4 linked regions of the Bombyx mori genome follow. The protein of the gene in region 3 purifies or fractionates together with the protein of the main gene of each other region. This does not show direct contact. Links are inferred from orthologs where the notes say so. Each region holds a gene or a part of one and is shown on either strand. Other genes may lie near its edges.

What was found.
Region 1: the proteins of anaphase-promoting complex subunit 4 (region 3) and anaphase-promoting complex subunit 2 purify together in Homo sapiens (affinity purification with western blotting; 12 studies listed by BioGRID and IntAct, with this or other methods). This does not show direct contact. The link is inferred for Bombyx mori from reciprocal best matches to the Homo sapiens genes ANAPC4 and ANAPC2.
Region 2: the proteins of anaphase-promoting complex subunit 4 (region 3) and anaphase promoting complex subunit 11 purify together in Homo sapiens (affinity purification with mass spectrometry; 8 studies listed by BioGRID and IntAct, with this or other methods). This does not show direct contact. The link is inferred for Bombyx mori from reciprocal best matches to the Homo sapiens genes ANAPC4 and ANAPC11.
Region 4: the proteins of anaphase-promoting complex subunit 4 (region 3) and mitotic spindle assembly checkpoint protein MAD2A purify together in Homo sapiens (affinity purification with western blotting; 14 studies listed by BioGRID and IntAct, with this or other methods). This does not show direct contact. The link is inferred for Bombyx mori from reciprocal best matches to the Homo sapiens genes ANAPC4 and MAD2L1.

What each region holds. Positions count from the first base shown.
Region 1 is NC_085131.1:8,614,771-8,618,853, forward strand, and holds anaphase-promoting complex subunit 2, read right to left. Parts: upstream 2,852-4,083; 5' UTR 2,721-2,851; coding exon 387-2,720; 3' UTR 340-386; downstream 1-339. UniProt on the Homo sapiens protein: Together with the RING-H2 protein ANAPC11, constitutes the catalytic component of the anaphase promoting complex/cyclosome (APC/C), a cell cycle-regulated E3 ubiquitin ligase that controls progression through mitosis and the G1 phase of the cell cycle.
Region 2 is NC_085118.1:13,747,120-13,751,332, forward strand, and holds the start of anaphase promoting complex subunit 11, read left to right. Parts: upstream 1-1,521; 5' UTR 1,522-1,703; coding exon 1,704-1,722; intron 1,723-1,732; exon of another isoform or gene 1,733-1,936; coding exon 1,937-2,172; 3' UTR 2,173-2,179; exon of another isoform or gene 2,180-3,220; intron 3,221-4,213. UniProt on the Homo sapiens protein: Together with the cullin protein ANAPC2, constitutes the catalytic component of the anaphase promoting complex/cyclosome (APC/C), a cell cycle-regulated E3 ubiquitin ligase that controls progression through mitosis and the G1 phase of the cell cycle.
Region 3 is NC_085119.1:8,385,379-8,388,123, reverse strand, and holds the end of anaphase-promoting complex subunit 4, read left to right. Parts: coding exon 1-37; intron 38-991; coding exon 992-2,206; 3' UTR 2,207-2,243; downstream 2,244-2,745. Other genes in the region: uncharacterized protein LOC101742302, read right to left, coding at 2,428-2,627. UniProt on the Homo sapiens protein: Component of the anaphase promoting complex/cyclosome (APC/C), a cell cycle-regulated E3 ubiquitin ligase that controls progression through mitosis and the G1 phase of the cell cycle.
Region 4 is NC_085128.1:1,144,873-1,149,001, reverse strand, and holds mitotic spindle assembly checkpoint protein MAD2A, read right to left. Parts: upstream 2,810-4,129; 5' UTR 2,628-2,809; coding exon 2,558-2,627; intron 2,212-2,557; coding exon 2,065-2,211; intron 1,622-2,064; coding exon 1,215-1,621; 3' UTR 259-1,214; downstream 1-258. UniProt on the Homo sapiens protein: Component of the spindle-assembly checkpoint that prevents the onset of anaphase until all chromosomes are properly aligned at the metaphase plate.

The sequences.
Region 1 (4,083 bases), on a different chromosome or scaffold from region 3:
TTTTAGACCAAATGCATTCCACCCTGCATATTTATAATGAATCTGTATTATCTCCAGTATGTTTTTCTTGTCAAATTAGTTTTATTTATTTATTCTTACTTCTTAATTTAAACAGTATTTTAATAGATATTAAGACTGACACATGATAATGTATTAAATTCACTAAGTATTTAAATGTTATTCGTATTATTTTATAGTCAAGTGGTGGTATTACTTATTTTAATTTATAATGTATTTTGTTGATGGAACAGCTTAAAGAAATTGTTTTAAGCATCTGAACTTTTAACTTAAATAGACATGTAATGTAACCAAATTAATATATAAAAGGTGAAAATAAAGTTTTGTTAACTTTCAAGTTCTTTTTTATTTCTGATAAATATTAACATCTATGTCTTAGGCAATTTGTACATGCCTCCTTGAAGTACCAGTTGATGTGTTCTTACTTTTGTGTCTAAAAATTGTCTCAGCTCCATAAGACTGCATTCAGTGCCTGGAGCTTGGGAAGCAAACATCTTCAACATTTGATGTATTCTGTCCAAAGGCAAACAGTCCAAGTTTGTTAACATGCCTACAATATAAGACCAAAAAACTTGCAGTTCACCTTCCCGCTGATCATGTGCTGATGCCATGGCACTCTCCGTTTCTTCATCTTCACAAATCATTTCCTGTACTTGATGTGAAGGTACACTGGCTTTATTATCAGCTTCAACTAAAACAAAGTGATCTGTACTTTTTTCTGCTATTAAACCCATCGATTGCCAGTATGTTATTTTCCTTCTCAGAATAGTAATAGGAACTTTCATCACCTGATGGAGTTCATCTAACGTCCATTCAGATTTATTTTGGAAATGCATTATCAATGTCGCATTAAAAGGTGAAACTGTCAGATCTAACTTCTTTTCGCCTATTTCTATCTCTAAGTTTACATTTCCAAGGTGTGGTTTCCAGCTTAATGTTCGATTACCTTTTAAAGCTTCATAAGATTTAGTGTATGCTTCAAAATGTTCCTTGATTTCTTCTGGTAATTCCAGACTTTCATCTTTAAATGGTGGCCAAAACTGTGCAGATAAAATCATTGCATTAGAAGTAAATTTCTTATTCAGCTCCTCAATGGTTTTGTCCTGATGTATTAAGGAATTAATTCTCTTTGAATCTGATATATCTTTAAGCATGACTTCACAGAAGTGTAATTGTGATTCACCAAATCTTATTTTTAATAGCTCCAGGTACCTAATTTCTTTTTCTGTATTGATAACACTTTGAGCCAGTAATCTATCAGCTAGTAAAGTTCTATATTCATTAACAAACAATTCCTTGCTACCATAAACATTAACAAGCATAGATATAATATCATTAGTTCTTCTGTCATTTGAATCAACTTTGGGATCAGCATCAACTGGATCAGGATTCCATTCATCCCAAGCCTCATCTTTATCGGCATCGCCATCTCCTTCTGCTGCAAATTTAGCTAGCTCTTCAGCTAACTCACTACCAGCACCTTCTTCTGTCAAACTGCTCACAACACTCCTCACTGTATCTTCTCTACTTCTTAAATAATTACGAACAGGTTTTGTCACTGTTTCCAGTATAACACCAGAAGGATCTAGGTGTCTCAAAGCTCTAATAGTAGATATGTAAGCAGTGAGTATGTCAGGAGTGTTCACGCCTGGGTGAAGAAGCCTTGTTTCTAATGCATTCTGTAACTTTTTACATAGAGTTGGTCTCAAATCTGTTTTTGCTAAACAAATTTTGATGTCATCAACAGCAGGCTGGGAATCAGGATATTCTATAATGATGTTGAAGAGCTGATCAATTCTTGTTTTTGTGTAGCTATGATAGAGATAGTAAGTGAGTTTCTGTTTGAATCTTGAGATTGCATTTTGTATATTTTTATCATCAGGTGGAGGTTTGGAGGAGCCAGCACAATAAATTCTGATCAACCAAGACATTACTGTCGTATTAAGCCAACTTTCTAATGCTTCAATGTGGGACACATCAAAAGTGCCAGTACATACTTTCTGTATATGAGACTGAATTCTCAACTGGATGAAATTAGTTAGAACTTGACCTGTGAGTCTTTCTAACAATTGTAACTCCACCAACTTCCTATTTGTTTCATGAAATACTTTCACAATGTATGCACAGTTACAATCGGAATACTCGTTTCCACAACCAGAACACATTATGTCCTCGCCCATGTCGGAGTTTTCATATTCATTATCGAAAACATTAAAAGATATTTTGTAGAATTGGTTTATAATACACTGAAAGTCGATGGGTAACTGAGACAGAAGAGTAGCTCGGACGAGCTGCTTAAAACCTAATACAAGATTTTTCTCGCCATAAATTAACTTATTATCATTACAACTACTGTTCAATTTAGTCAATCTTTGTAACATGGGTGAGAAACTAGAAACTGCTTCATAGAGATCATTCACTGAAGATTTAAATAGTTGAAATCCTTTAACTTCTTCCGCGGTCTTAATATATTTTGACCAAAAACTAGATGCGACATGTTGTCGTAGATATTTCTCAATATGAACAAATACAAGATCACGTATCTTTATTTGGACACCCAAATTAACTATTAACACTTGCACTTCATCGTATTCAGCCTCAGTACAGTCGCTGAAAATTTTATCATCGAGAATTGGATAGGCATAGTTTATTTTATTCCAGTACAGTTTCAAATCTTCCTTTTTATGATTTATATTCATCATTATTGCAGGTCAGTTATCTTATACATAAGATCTAAGATCTAAGAACGATATCCTCATAAATAAATTAATTAATGTTTACACTTTACTCTTTGCGTTCAATCCTAATATATTAATCTGTGGATATTAAGTGTCTAATCTATGATCTGTGGTCCTGTGCCATAGAGTTAGTATTTTAGCTGAATTTGGCCTCCTTTTTTTAATTTTCAAATATATTTTTTTAATTTTAATTATTTATTCGTCGTTTGTTCGTTAATGTTCGAATGTAAAAATTGTTTGTTCGTCCATTATTTATTTATAATTAAACAAATGATCACTCTTAAGTTAGCCCCTCTTACAAAATATCTTTATTTTTATCGATCAGATTAATTAATTGTGATCAATTATCGTTTGTTCGACAACTACTGGTGATTGCTCGATCATAAAAACAATTAAATTCCCAATTATTAATTTAATATTCTTAGAATAATTAGAAATCACTGAAATTTCTATATGGTTGTTAATATTCAATATAATTAAAAATAACTGAATTTATTAAAACCGGGCGAATCGTACTTTAACGACTAATTGGTCGTCTTCACTGACATTTTTTTGTTGAAGTATTGTTGAAGTTTTCAATATTTTTTTGATCTACCTAGGAAATAATTAGACAGTTTAAGCGCACTTGTTAACAAAACGCTAGTAAATACGGCCATTGATAGGTGACTGACAAAACCGGCGCATGCACAATATAGGCCTGATTGCTTAATAGATATAAAATAATTAATAATTGGGAATTTATTTGTTTTTATGATGCAACAATCACCAATAGTCGCCGAACAAACGATAATTGATCAAAATTAATTAGTCTGAGTGATAGAAATAAAGACATCTAGTAAGAGGGGCCGACTTAAGGGTGATCATTTGTTTAATTAATTATAAATAAATAAAAGACGAAATAACAATTAAAAATAAAAAATCCAATAATTACAAAGGGGGGGGGGCCAAATTCATTGAGCTCCAATATTTCTGACATTTAATTTAGTTCCACGCGGCTAAATAACTCGCCGGATTTTTTTTGTGCAAAATTCCTATTTCACTTTTCTCACAACAAAATATATGGTTTTGGCCTTTGTTATAAATTAAATGGTGTGATTTTATAGGTGAATGAAGTTAGCCCCTCAAAAAAATTTTTTTTTCCTGTTTTCTACTTATTTTCTATTAATTCGTTTGTTCATCATTTGTTCTTGATTGTTCATTGTTAATAATTGTTTGTTCCCCATTTATTTATTTTAAAAAAAATATTAAAAATATATCTAAAAGTTAGCCCCTCGATTGCAATTTTTAAAATTTTTTCGTCCTTAATTACTCGTAAATATTCATTTTC
Region 2 (4,213 bases), on a different chromosome or scaffold from region 3:
ACAGGTTTCTAGGGTTGTCTATGTAGTTATAACAATATTTTTTAAATTTGTTGGTAAAAATCTGGTTTATTCGTGATGTTTTTGTCTAGAACTTTTATTCAAAATTATCAATGTTTTATTTTATTGTTTGGTAAATATTTATATTATCAGTTACGTATTGTTTTCTGTTTTTAGATATGCCTCGCGTGTACGTATCAAAGAATGCAAAGCCTTATAAGAGATATTATCCCTTAATATTAAAAACAGCAATTAGGAAATTTTCTATTTGGGAATAAGTCTTTAGTTGAAATAGCTAAGCAATTTAATATAAGTAAGTCAATTTTGCACAGACATGTAATAAGAACAATGAAATCTCAAGGTGGACAAAAATGTCTAAGTAATACATAATAAAATATTTATTATTTGTTCAGAGTGTCCGTTTTTTAATGTTTTTTATTGATGATCACTTTGTTGGTGCAACTAAATAAATAAATTAAAACCAAGTAGTGCCCACCCTAGCAAATTTCTCATTTCGTCCCAATTAACCGCAATTTCCGGGTAAATAGGGATTACACCTATTTTTGCTTTTTTTGCTTAAACTGGAATGCTAGTTGCATAGTTTTAAATTGGACAACAAAGATGCTCCCAAGACTCAATCATTTTGATCCTGATATAGCATTATATACATCAACAACTACCTTAAAATTGGTCATAAAGATGGAATTTGTCCCTAATCGCCCCATTTTACCGGTACTTGCGTATTTCAAGTTGCTTCCGCTTGCAGTTCTTTCACTGAAGTTCCAGTACATGTGTAATTTCTATTTTTAGTATTGTTTAAAAGTGATTTATTAAAGACCTTGTTTAGTTTTTAGTTCTTTTTATTTCAAATGATTTTTAGTAGTTTAATTGAGTTTGGTAATTTTTTTTTATTTCACTTAACATCATTTCAAAATATGGTACTCGTTTATGACTTCGTTTCATGTATCGATCCCCGTGCCTATCAGATTTTGAAATAAAATAATAAAAATTACACTTTGAAAATTTTCGAATTAACATCTGACAATTTTTTTAGCGGGAACGCAAGGCGCTAAGTTCTGTTAATTTTGTTAAAGTAGTGCTCATGTTTAAACGTGTAATAACGGTGATTATTACACTATTATTATACTATATTACATTATTAACTGTTTAGTATCTCTGAAGGTGCACAAATGTGGGAAAATGAAACAAATTCGCTGGACGTAGCTTCTCAAAAGCTTCCAAAAAGTCTTGGTGCATAACCACCACTCCACTGAGACTATATTTCATCACATCTCATCTCATTTCATTAACATCCTAATTGATTTACTGTCTCAAATTAATAAACTTCATCTCATTTCGCTCTATGGTTTTTCAAAACACAGAATTCACAGAATACACAAAAAATACGCTGTATGGTGTGATACCTTCGTTTTTCCAGTTCAAAAAATAAAGTAGCCGATAAGACTGACATATGACTGACATTAAAAACAAATTTATTTGATCTTACTTGATTTTACTTCAGTGGTTAGATTAATAAAATAAACATTATATTTTTAAAATTAGCACATAAACTTAAAGGCAAATGATAAATACTGAAAAAAATTTGTTCAGTCAACATATTATATCATAAAAATCGTTAATTTAATTATGAAGGATCTTAAGGTTAAATAAATCTAAAACTTCTATTTTAGCCTCATGATCGCGCTATGAAAGTAACTGTAAAAAGTAAGCACAATCTCTTTTTTTCATAATGTTTATTTTCCCTGGTTAATTTACACTTTATTCTTTGCAACTTAAAACACACTGACATTAAAGTAAATTAAGTAGTAATTTTTGCTAAGTGCCTTATTGTCATAGAGCACAATTCTTAAAAATTCCTCATACAAGGAAGAACCGATTGAAATTGAAATATTCACAGTAACGAGATAATTCATTTTAGGTTGGACAGGGGTTGCAACTTGGAGGTGGGTAGCAAACGACGACAATTGTGGGATTTGTCGTATGCCATTTGATAGCTGCTGTCCAGACTGCAAACTACCTGGGGACGACTGCCCTCTAGTTTGGGGTGCTTGCTCTCACTGTTTCCACATTCACTGTATCGTAAAGTGGCTACACTCTCAGCCTCAACAGCAGTGTCCTATGTGCAGACAAGACTGGAAGTTCAATAACAAGTGAAATATTCGTAAGTACATACCATAAATTAAGAAAATATAGTTTAAATAATAAATAAATATAGGTTTTTATTCTCACACTTTATTGTGTCACTGCTGTCCCATTTTGTAACTATATTTTGTTTACCAACCTATAAGGCTAGAATAATTTGGAAAAATTTATTGTTTGGTGTTTTCAAACTCAATAAGTAGTTAAATGGTTCGATGATTATAGAGTCACAAATCCTTATTAGTCATTTTTAGTTTAGTGATAACAAGTTTAAATCTCACCTTAACTTATTAATCAGGTGGTATGTAGTATAGAATATAGGGATTGATCTGCACATAATAGCAACTTTTATTATTAATGTCAGAATAATGCAAATCTAACATAAATGAAGTTGACAATATCACAACATTTTTCTTTCTTTGAAGCTTTGATTACGGAGTTCTACAGTTTCCTTCCTTTCATAATTCAGCAGAGTACTAAGTTTTAAAGACAAAAGGTTGCTACTATGCTAGTACAGATTAAATATTATTAAAGTTTTCTGTGAATTGTTGTACAAGGGATTGTCAAAAATATCATAATAACGAGGGGTGAAAGGTTATTATTTGGTTTAAGAGATAATATTCGATATTTATCTTTGTAATTAAAGGTGCATTTTATTTGATGTCAGTATAATTTTTTAATTGAACTTTAATTAAGCTAAAGAAGTTTTTTTTTTATTATGTTTTTTTTTTCAAATTTTAAACTTTAAATGGCTCTGCTATAAAGCTGCAAAAATGTCGCTCAAATCAAATAGCCTTTCACCCCGATATGAACTACTGATAAATTTAGATGTGTTGGTGAAATTAGCCTACCTTATGTTCTTTTTTTTTTTATTGCCCCTGTGGGCATACGGCCCACCTGATGGTGAGTGGTTACCGTCGCCCATGGACCTCAGCAATGCTAGGGGCAGAGCCAAGCCGCTGCCTACTGCTAAAATTTTCACTGCTTTTCCATTATTTGTATTTGGGCAGGGATTAGATGCAGTGTAGTTCGACTCCCACAACCTGAATTTGTTCAAACCACTCTGAAATTATAAATATTAGGTAATGATTATTAACAAAACATCTGTAGTGATAGAAAACAATCTCTGGAAAAATATTCTATAAGGATTCTGGATGATTTGCCTTTGGCACCAAATAATTTGGTCAAAGGGCAAATTATCTCTCCCAAAAAAACCAAAATACTGGGATACTCTTAAAATATAATCTTTATATACAGTATTTATAATATACTTTTTTACTGGGCATCGTTTCTGCCTGCACTGATAGTGACCACCATCCTACATATTTTTGCTGTGAAGCAGTAAAATGTAAACATTTGATGTGTGGAGCAGCCGATGTACTGTAAAAACTGACTTAGAAGTCATGTCACAGAATGGGTTGTGACAACTCATTAATCTCTCAGCAAAAATTAACTGTGAACCTTGCTGTCTATTCTTCGAGTTGCCTTTCGCAAAACTCACGAGAAGAGAGTGGATGCCATTCTAGGCCCTCTGGAGCTTAGTGTGCTGCATGCCGACATCGGTGTGTTTATAAACCAAAAAGGTCCCACATATTGCTTAACAGCACTTCAAAGAAATGTGATCAAAGCTGAAGTCCTGACAGGATACGTTGATGGCAAGCAATTTTTTTTGCCCCGAAATCGTCCTTTTAATTTTTTTAATTTTTCTTGTTGCTTCGATGGGTGGACGAGCTCACAGCCCACCTGATGTTAAGTGGTTATTGGAGCCCATAGACATCTACAAACTAAATACGCCACCCACGTTGAGATATAAGTTCTAAGGTCTCAGTATAGTTACAACGGCTGCCCCACCCTTCAAGCCGAAACGCATTACTGTTTCATGGCAGAAATAGGCGAAGTAGTGGTACCTACCCGCGCGGACTCACAAGAGGTCCTACCACCTACTTAATCAAATATCATTTAGTTTCAAACGCGTAATTTTTGTTTGGCAATGACGCGTAAATAATACACGCGGGGGTAGACATCTACCAGCTGCTTCGCGCATGGCCAATAGTAA
Region 3 (2,745 bases):
ACTCAGAGGACTCACAAGGATAGAAGACAGATACAAGGTAATCATTAAAAAAAAAATTAAAACCAAATGATATTCTGTAAATAAATTGCTACTTATTGGTAATAAAAAAATAGACTTGGACTTCTTTACTCAATATGGGTCGCAGCGTCCACATTGGCATCTATGGCAGTAATCGATAAATACTAGGTAAGGTATCTAACCCATTTGAAATACTATATTCAATCCAAGATTTAGTATAAATACAACAACAATACTATCGCATATGTACTACACACCTGTACAGAATTCTTAGGGGTTTGATTCTTTTTTGAGTCACGAAGAAACCGCTAGACTTCCGCTTAAAATTAGAGGCCCGTGGCAGAATTAAACCGTCTAATAGCGCTCGTTGGTTGAGACACAATGGAAATATATGGAACGCTTAGGGTGCTAAAATTCGGACTTCCTTCCTATTCGAGTACCCCTGCTGGCTGAACGATGACGATTTGGTCCGCTAGCACTCATGGCGCGCTGCTTGCTTCTGTCAACACATTCGGCAATTCGGCAAAGAAGAGGACGGCTTTTTTTGTGTGGGTCATTGCGCGAATGTGTGAGTGACCTCATAGACACAGCCCACTGAGTTTCTCGCCAGATTTTCTCAGTGAGTCGCATTTCCGATCAGGTTGTTGATTCTGCGAAGCACTGCTCTTTGCTAGGGCCAGTGTTAGCATCAGTCCCGATTTGAGCCCCGTGAGCTCACCTACATGTCAAGCTGAAATAGCCTCTCAAGGCTTTCAGCATAGGTAGGAGTAAAAAAGTGAGTGTATGAAGCCGCAGTGATGGCAGTCCACCGTGGACTTAGCCACAACCCGGTGTTATTTCTGAAGCAATGACAAAGCAGGGCGCTGGTTCTAACACTTATCCGCTTTATCTATTGAATATCATATCACATTGTATAATATAATCACGATAGATTAGATGCAAATATTTTAAAATAATATAAACCATTTTGCAGATTCTAGGTTTAGAAGAAAGCAGTGTTACAGAAGCGATAAAAGCATGTTGTGCATTTTTAAACAAATGTCTGGAATTACAACAGGTTATTGATGTATCGATGCGGAACTATAAAGCTTTCTTCAGGTGGCTTTTTGTAGTAATCGTTAGACAACTGGATGAACAAACACCAAGTGAAATTGTGAAAATAAATCAACAGGAATTGAGCCACATAGCGGAGTTTCTCTACAATTTTGACAATGTAAAAGTAGACAGTTCAGACAAACCACCTGATAAATTGATCAAATTTAATTTAGAAAGATTAGGGCAATATTTGCAAAATCAAGAACTGACAATTTTGCCAGAAGATGAAGACAACACATGGCATAAATTTCTTCAAGACAATGCTTGCTTCCTTAAAGACAATGATACATTTTTCTCCATGAAAGACTTCAAAAAATATTCATTAGTTCAACAGCAAGCACATCTTATAGAGACAGTCACTAAAGTTTTTGATGTCGTTCATAAAGATACAGGAAAATATTTTTCTGTATTATGTAATATTAGATGCCACGAAGATCAACTGAATAAAAACCTGCACAATAGTTTGAGAGTTTCACAAGTCTTTGATGACACAAATAAACGATTGATGTCGGCCTTTTTGGATATATCAAATGGAAAAGAAGGAATTTATTTTTTGGCTGTCAATATAAAGGAGAGATCTTGTAATATTGCAGTTATGAAATGCTACTTTTCTTCTTATTTAGTTCAAAATGGCACTGATGATCAACAAAACGAACCTACAAATTTATTAGATTTACAATTCTATTCCCCAGAATATTTGTCAGTTATTACAACACATCCTGAAAATGAGGAAAATACAATATTTATTCAGGTACCAGTAAAACATCTCCTAGAAAATTCTACTGAACTCAATATTAACACAAAATCTTGTATTTTTACTGACAGAAGTGTAAAGAAGGATATTGCGCCTTTATTAGAACAGAATGTTTATAAAGTGCTTGAGAAAATGGACGGTTCAAGATTAGCAGTTTCTGGAGGTCGTAAAGTTGCTGTTATCCTTTCAAAAAGTTCTCGAAAAGTTAGAGTATTTGAAATGGAAGTTGATGGTGATGATGATGAAGACGATACTCTCGATACAACACCACAATCTATTGGAAAATTTCAAAACACACCTGATAAAAGTAATACTACCAATGAAGACAATATTTTTTAATATTTATTTAAGAAATTAAATATTCTACTCATCCTTATTATCTAGTATCATTTCTTTATCTACACTAGTACTTATTGAAAATTAATAATATGTAATTGGCAATAGATTATACACATTTGTTTAAAAGCATATTATTTTGGAACTATGTATTTGGAAAAATAAATTATTACAGTATTAAAATCTAAGTCTATGACACATCTTGACTTATGTACTGTTTTTAACTAAATCAAACTACGATGTGGTGATTTAATTTGAATATTTTCAAATACTGAATTGAAATCTGTATCTAATCCTTGGTTATCTATTCCATAGAGAAGTTCAGATGATTGATTTCTGCTTGGTCCCGCAACAGGTTCATGGATGCTAGTGGTAGTTTGATTATATATTTCATCACCATCTATTTCCTCATCTGGTTCATCAACTACAAACAAAATTTAAATCCATAATTTGGTCAGTCATCATACTTATGTGGTAAAATATAAAAAATGATAAGGGCTTTCCAAGTTAGTATAGTAACATTAAAAATACAGTAAAACCTC
Region 4 (4,129 bases), on a different chromosome or scaffold from region 3:
AAGGCCCGTCATGACCTACGCGTGTGGTGTTTGCTCACGCGGCCCGCACACACTTGGACACCCTCCAATCCCTACAATCCAGCTTTTGCAGGCTGGCCGTCGGAGCTGTGGTTCGTGAGGAACGTTGACATACACGACGACCTTGGCCTCGAATCGATCCAGAAACGTAACGAAAGTAGAATAAATTATGCTGTAGTCATAGTAGAAAATTTATATCACCCTTGTATCATCGCTCATTTAAACAAGACAAAAACCAAACACTTTTAAATTCATTTATACATGCCAAAATGATACCAAACATTGAAACGAAGGTGCTACATTCACAGTTAAAACTTACATTTTATATTTACAATACTGAACACAATATAGATTTCGGTTGATTGCTATTAGTTAAAAACACATAATATAAAATTATTTTCAATTTTAGGTGCCCATTAAGTGCCCAAGTATACAGTATTATAGTAGATACATGAACAAGCGAACTAGAGATGTAGTCATTACCATTTAAATACTAAATGATTTCCATTTGTAGATACCAACAAAATTACTTGTGGGGCTAAGATATTGATAACCGTTTGTTAGAAAATCAACTCCATATTCAGGTCTTAACGCATAGAATATGTGCGAATGCCAGCCTCGTGTGAGAACATCACTGTTTTTCTCAAGTATCTAACAATAATCTTTATTGGCCTGTATGGGAGTCAGATAACATTGTTTGTAAAACCAAGCACTCAAAACTTAGCTGTGAGATTAAAACAAACTTTAGACTGTTTAAAGCATAATCAATACCTACTGTAACTTAGTCACTAAATAAAATTATACGTATTTAGATCGAGAACAGTCTACAACCAATAATGGCCTAACAATTTGATTGACGATTTCCTTCTTATTTGAGAAAAAAAACTAAAACTTAACACATCACGACAACTGTAGTAATTGTTATGGCATAATTTCATTTTAAAATTCACCATTACTATAATTATGAGTCATTAAAGATTCACTAGTACATTATTGCAGAGAGGGGAGAAAGCAGTAAAGGTTATTTATTATTTAAAATGGGTAGACGGTCATAGTCCACCTTATGGTCACCTGATGGTCATCACGCAATTGATGCATGCTCTCTTCAACAATATGTTACCTTACCTTAGATAATTACAAACTACATTACTTGAGATACTTAAAAAGAATAGAAAACTTATAAAGTAAAGCTGCAATCAATCTGCGAGTTTGTAACTGACTACTGTTTCCATTTTGTGTAAACTAGTCGAGAATGACTTTAGCTGTACATTCTGAGCATTGGCTATAGCTACTGGTTGTGCCTCAGCCCATTTTTCTGGAATATCGCAGTCTGTTTTAGCATGAACCAAAACATCAAATGAACATCTACAATCTAATAGCGGTAAGTACGATATTGTTGCTGCTACTTGTAACATAACATCTCTGATTTCCTGTTGTATCTTCTTCAAATCTTTGCTCCCGACCATTTCATTTTTCTCCTTAGATAAAGCAGTATCTCCATCTTCGTATTGAATGTTAAAGTCCCAACATTCCAGAACTTCTTTGTTAGCCACATTTAGTATGATCAGAGATAGTTTTTTCACTTTCTTGTCAAGAATCCATTCTGTAATATCATCAAAATAACATCATTAAAACTACTTTAATGGATTATATCACACATATATTATTTTTGTTTTGTGATATTGTGAGTACTGACAATTAAGGTTATTGATGTACATTAAATTTTGTACTAGTTTCAGTTATCTCTATGACTTGTGAAAACTAAAGAAATTGCTGTGGTAAAACTTTATTTAAAGGATGTCAAAACTCCTAAAACTCCAGACTAAGGTGTGGAGCTAAGTAGGTAGCAGTAGTGGCCCTCAAAACACAGCACATGAGCAGTTGATTCATCTCATTCGTGCATAAATACAATGCCACTAAAAACAATGAATGATAAAAGAACTCCCCAAATTGTTGATCTTTATTTTAAGTCCATCAAAAAAGTTACTAATTATTACTAAGAACTGCTATTAATCATATTAGATTTGGATGTAGACTAACTGATACCTTCACTCTGTGTAAGAAGATTTGTTAAGAAGCTCTTGATCTGAGGATCCTCTGAGAGTAGCAGTGTGATGCCATACTGGTTTTCTGCCTTAAAGGTTTCAGGTGGATATAAGCCTCGTTGAAACAGTACTGAATTTATTGAAAATTCTGAAAACATGAGTAAATAAATCAGTTTATACTACTCACAGGGATTAAACAAATGTGGACTTTAGTCATATAAATTTATAATGGTTTTGTAGTCCACATTAGTAAGCCCTTGTACTCTGTATCTTTATGGTCGTGTTTCTTCTAACAGCTGTGTGTACAAAATATATTAATTCAATAAATAAAAATAAATAAGCATGTCCATCATGGCCACTTCAACATACTGGTTACAACCTCAGGTTATTATTAGTATCAGAGCTTTCAGCGCATATATGCTTATACGGCTGTGTGGTAAAAATGGGAAAACAAGCTTTTGATACCAGAACAACAGAGAAACAATGTTACTTACTCAAATATTCGCATATAATTTGAGCGGAGCCGCGCAAAGTAATACAATTTTTTGTTTGTTGTAGTGACATAGTTGTCAGCTGTTTGTCGATTATATTGCTGTAATCGTTCTATCAATAATCAAAATCAATGAATTTATATACACACTTGAGTATGTAGGGACGATTTGATACAAACGAGCCGTTATGTAGGTACTGGGTGAATTCAGCGCGTCCGTTGATAATTGTTATTTTCAAATAATTCAAAACATTTCATTCAAACTTCAATGTCAAAAATTCCTTTAAATCAAGTGTCAATGCTCAAACGCCTCCATATACCCTTTGCTTACATATTAAAAATACAAAACTCCGTCTGATATACTACGCAAAGTGAAATGGAACTGAGGAAAATAAATTAATTTTTAAGTAAAGTGGTAATAAACTTAAATACATGAGATCAAATAGAAATAAGCTCTCTCTACATACAGCTACATCAACACACAAAGATGATGATGTGCTCCTAATCTCTATCCTCCAAACTAAAAGGGTAAAATCTTAACTTCGGCAACCTGAATCATTTGATTTTTTTTTATTGCTTAGATGGGTGGACAAGCTCACAGCCCACCTGGTGTTAAGTGGTTACTGGAGCCCATAGATATCTACAACGTAAATGCGCCACCCACCTTGAGATATGAGTTCTAAGGTCTCAAGTTTAGTTACAACGGCTGCCCCACCCTTTAAACCGAAACATATTACTGCTTCACGGCAGAAATAGACAGGGTGGTGATACCTATCCTCGCGGACTCACAAGAGGCCTTACCACCATGTATGATGCTATTATGAAACAAAAACAATATGTAGGTACCTATTAAGAACTTTTTGGCGGGAACTCGAGGAGTGAAGTTGTGTGATTTGTTTTATTTTGTTTAATTAGTGTTTCTTCAGGTTTAAATGTGTAATAACTAGAGGTCAGAGTGGGTAAGTAGATTGAGTTAAGGTCGTTGACGTCAAACGTAGAGGATAATATGGATATATATATATATATATATGCCTCCAAAATACTGGAACTTCATATTTATTGTGATATTTGTTCCGGAATTTTGAAATTAGCATGAATTTGTGTTTAAAGTGAAAAACGTAATAATAATTTTTTTTTTCTTTATTGCTTAGATGGGTAGACGAGTTCACAGCCACCTGTAATCTACGCTATCAGTGCTAGCTAATGGTAAAAGAAATCAGTATTTTGTTTTATACAAAAACGCCTTGGAATAGTTACAGTTATATATTATATATATGTGTATAGTTATAGTTATAGTTATTTTGTCCCTTTCTGTTAAATTGTAAATGACGCTTGTCAGTATGAGACAAAACTTAGACAGTGCTTTTTTGTTACTTTATAAGTATAGAAATTGTATCCGATGAGGATTAAAAATAATTTTTTTCATTTTAAAAAAATAATCATTATGGATAAAATGGCATGTCCATATTAAAATATCTTGATCCAAGTATATGAAATCAATCTACCTACTCCGACCACTGGTAATAACGGTGGTTTATTAACTGTTTAATATCTGTGAAAGTGCACAAATGTGGGA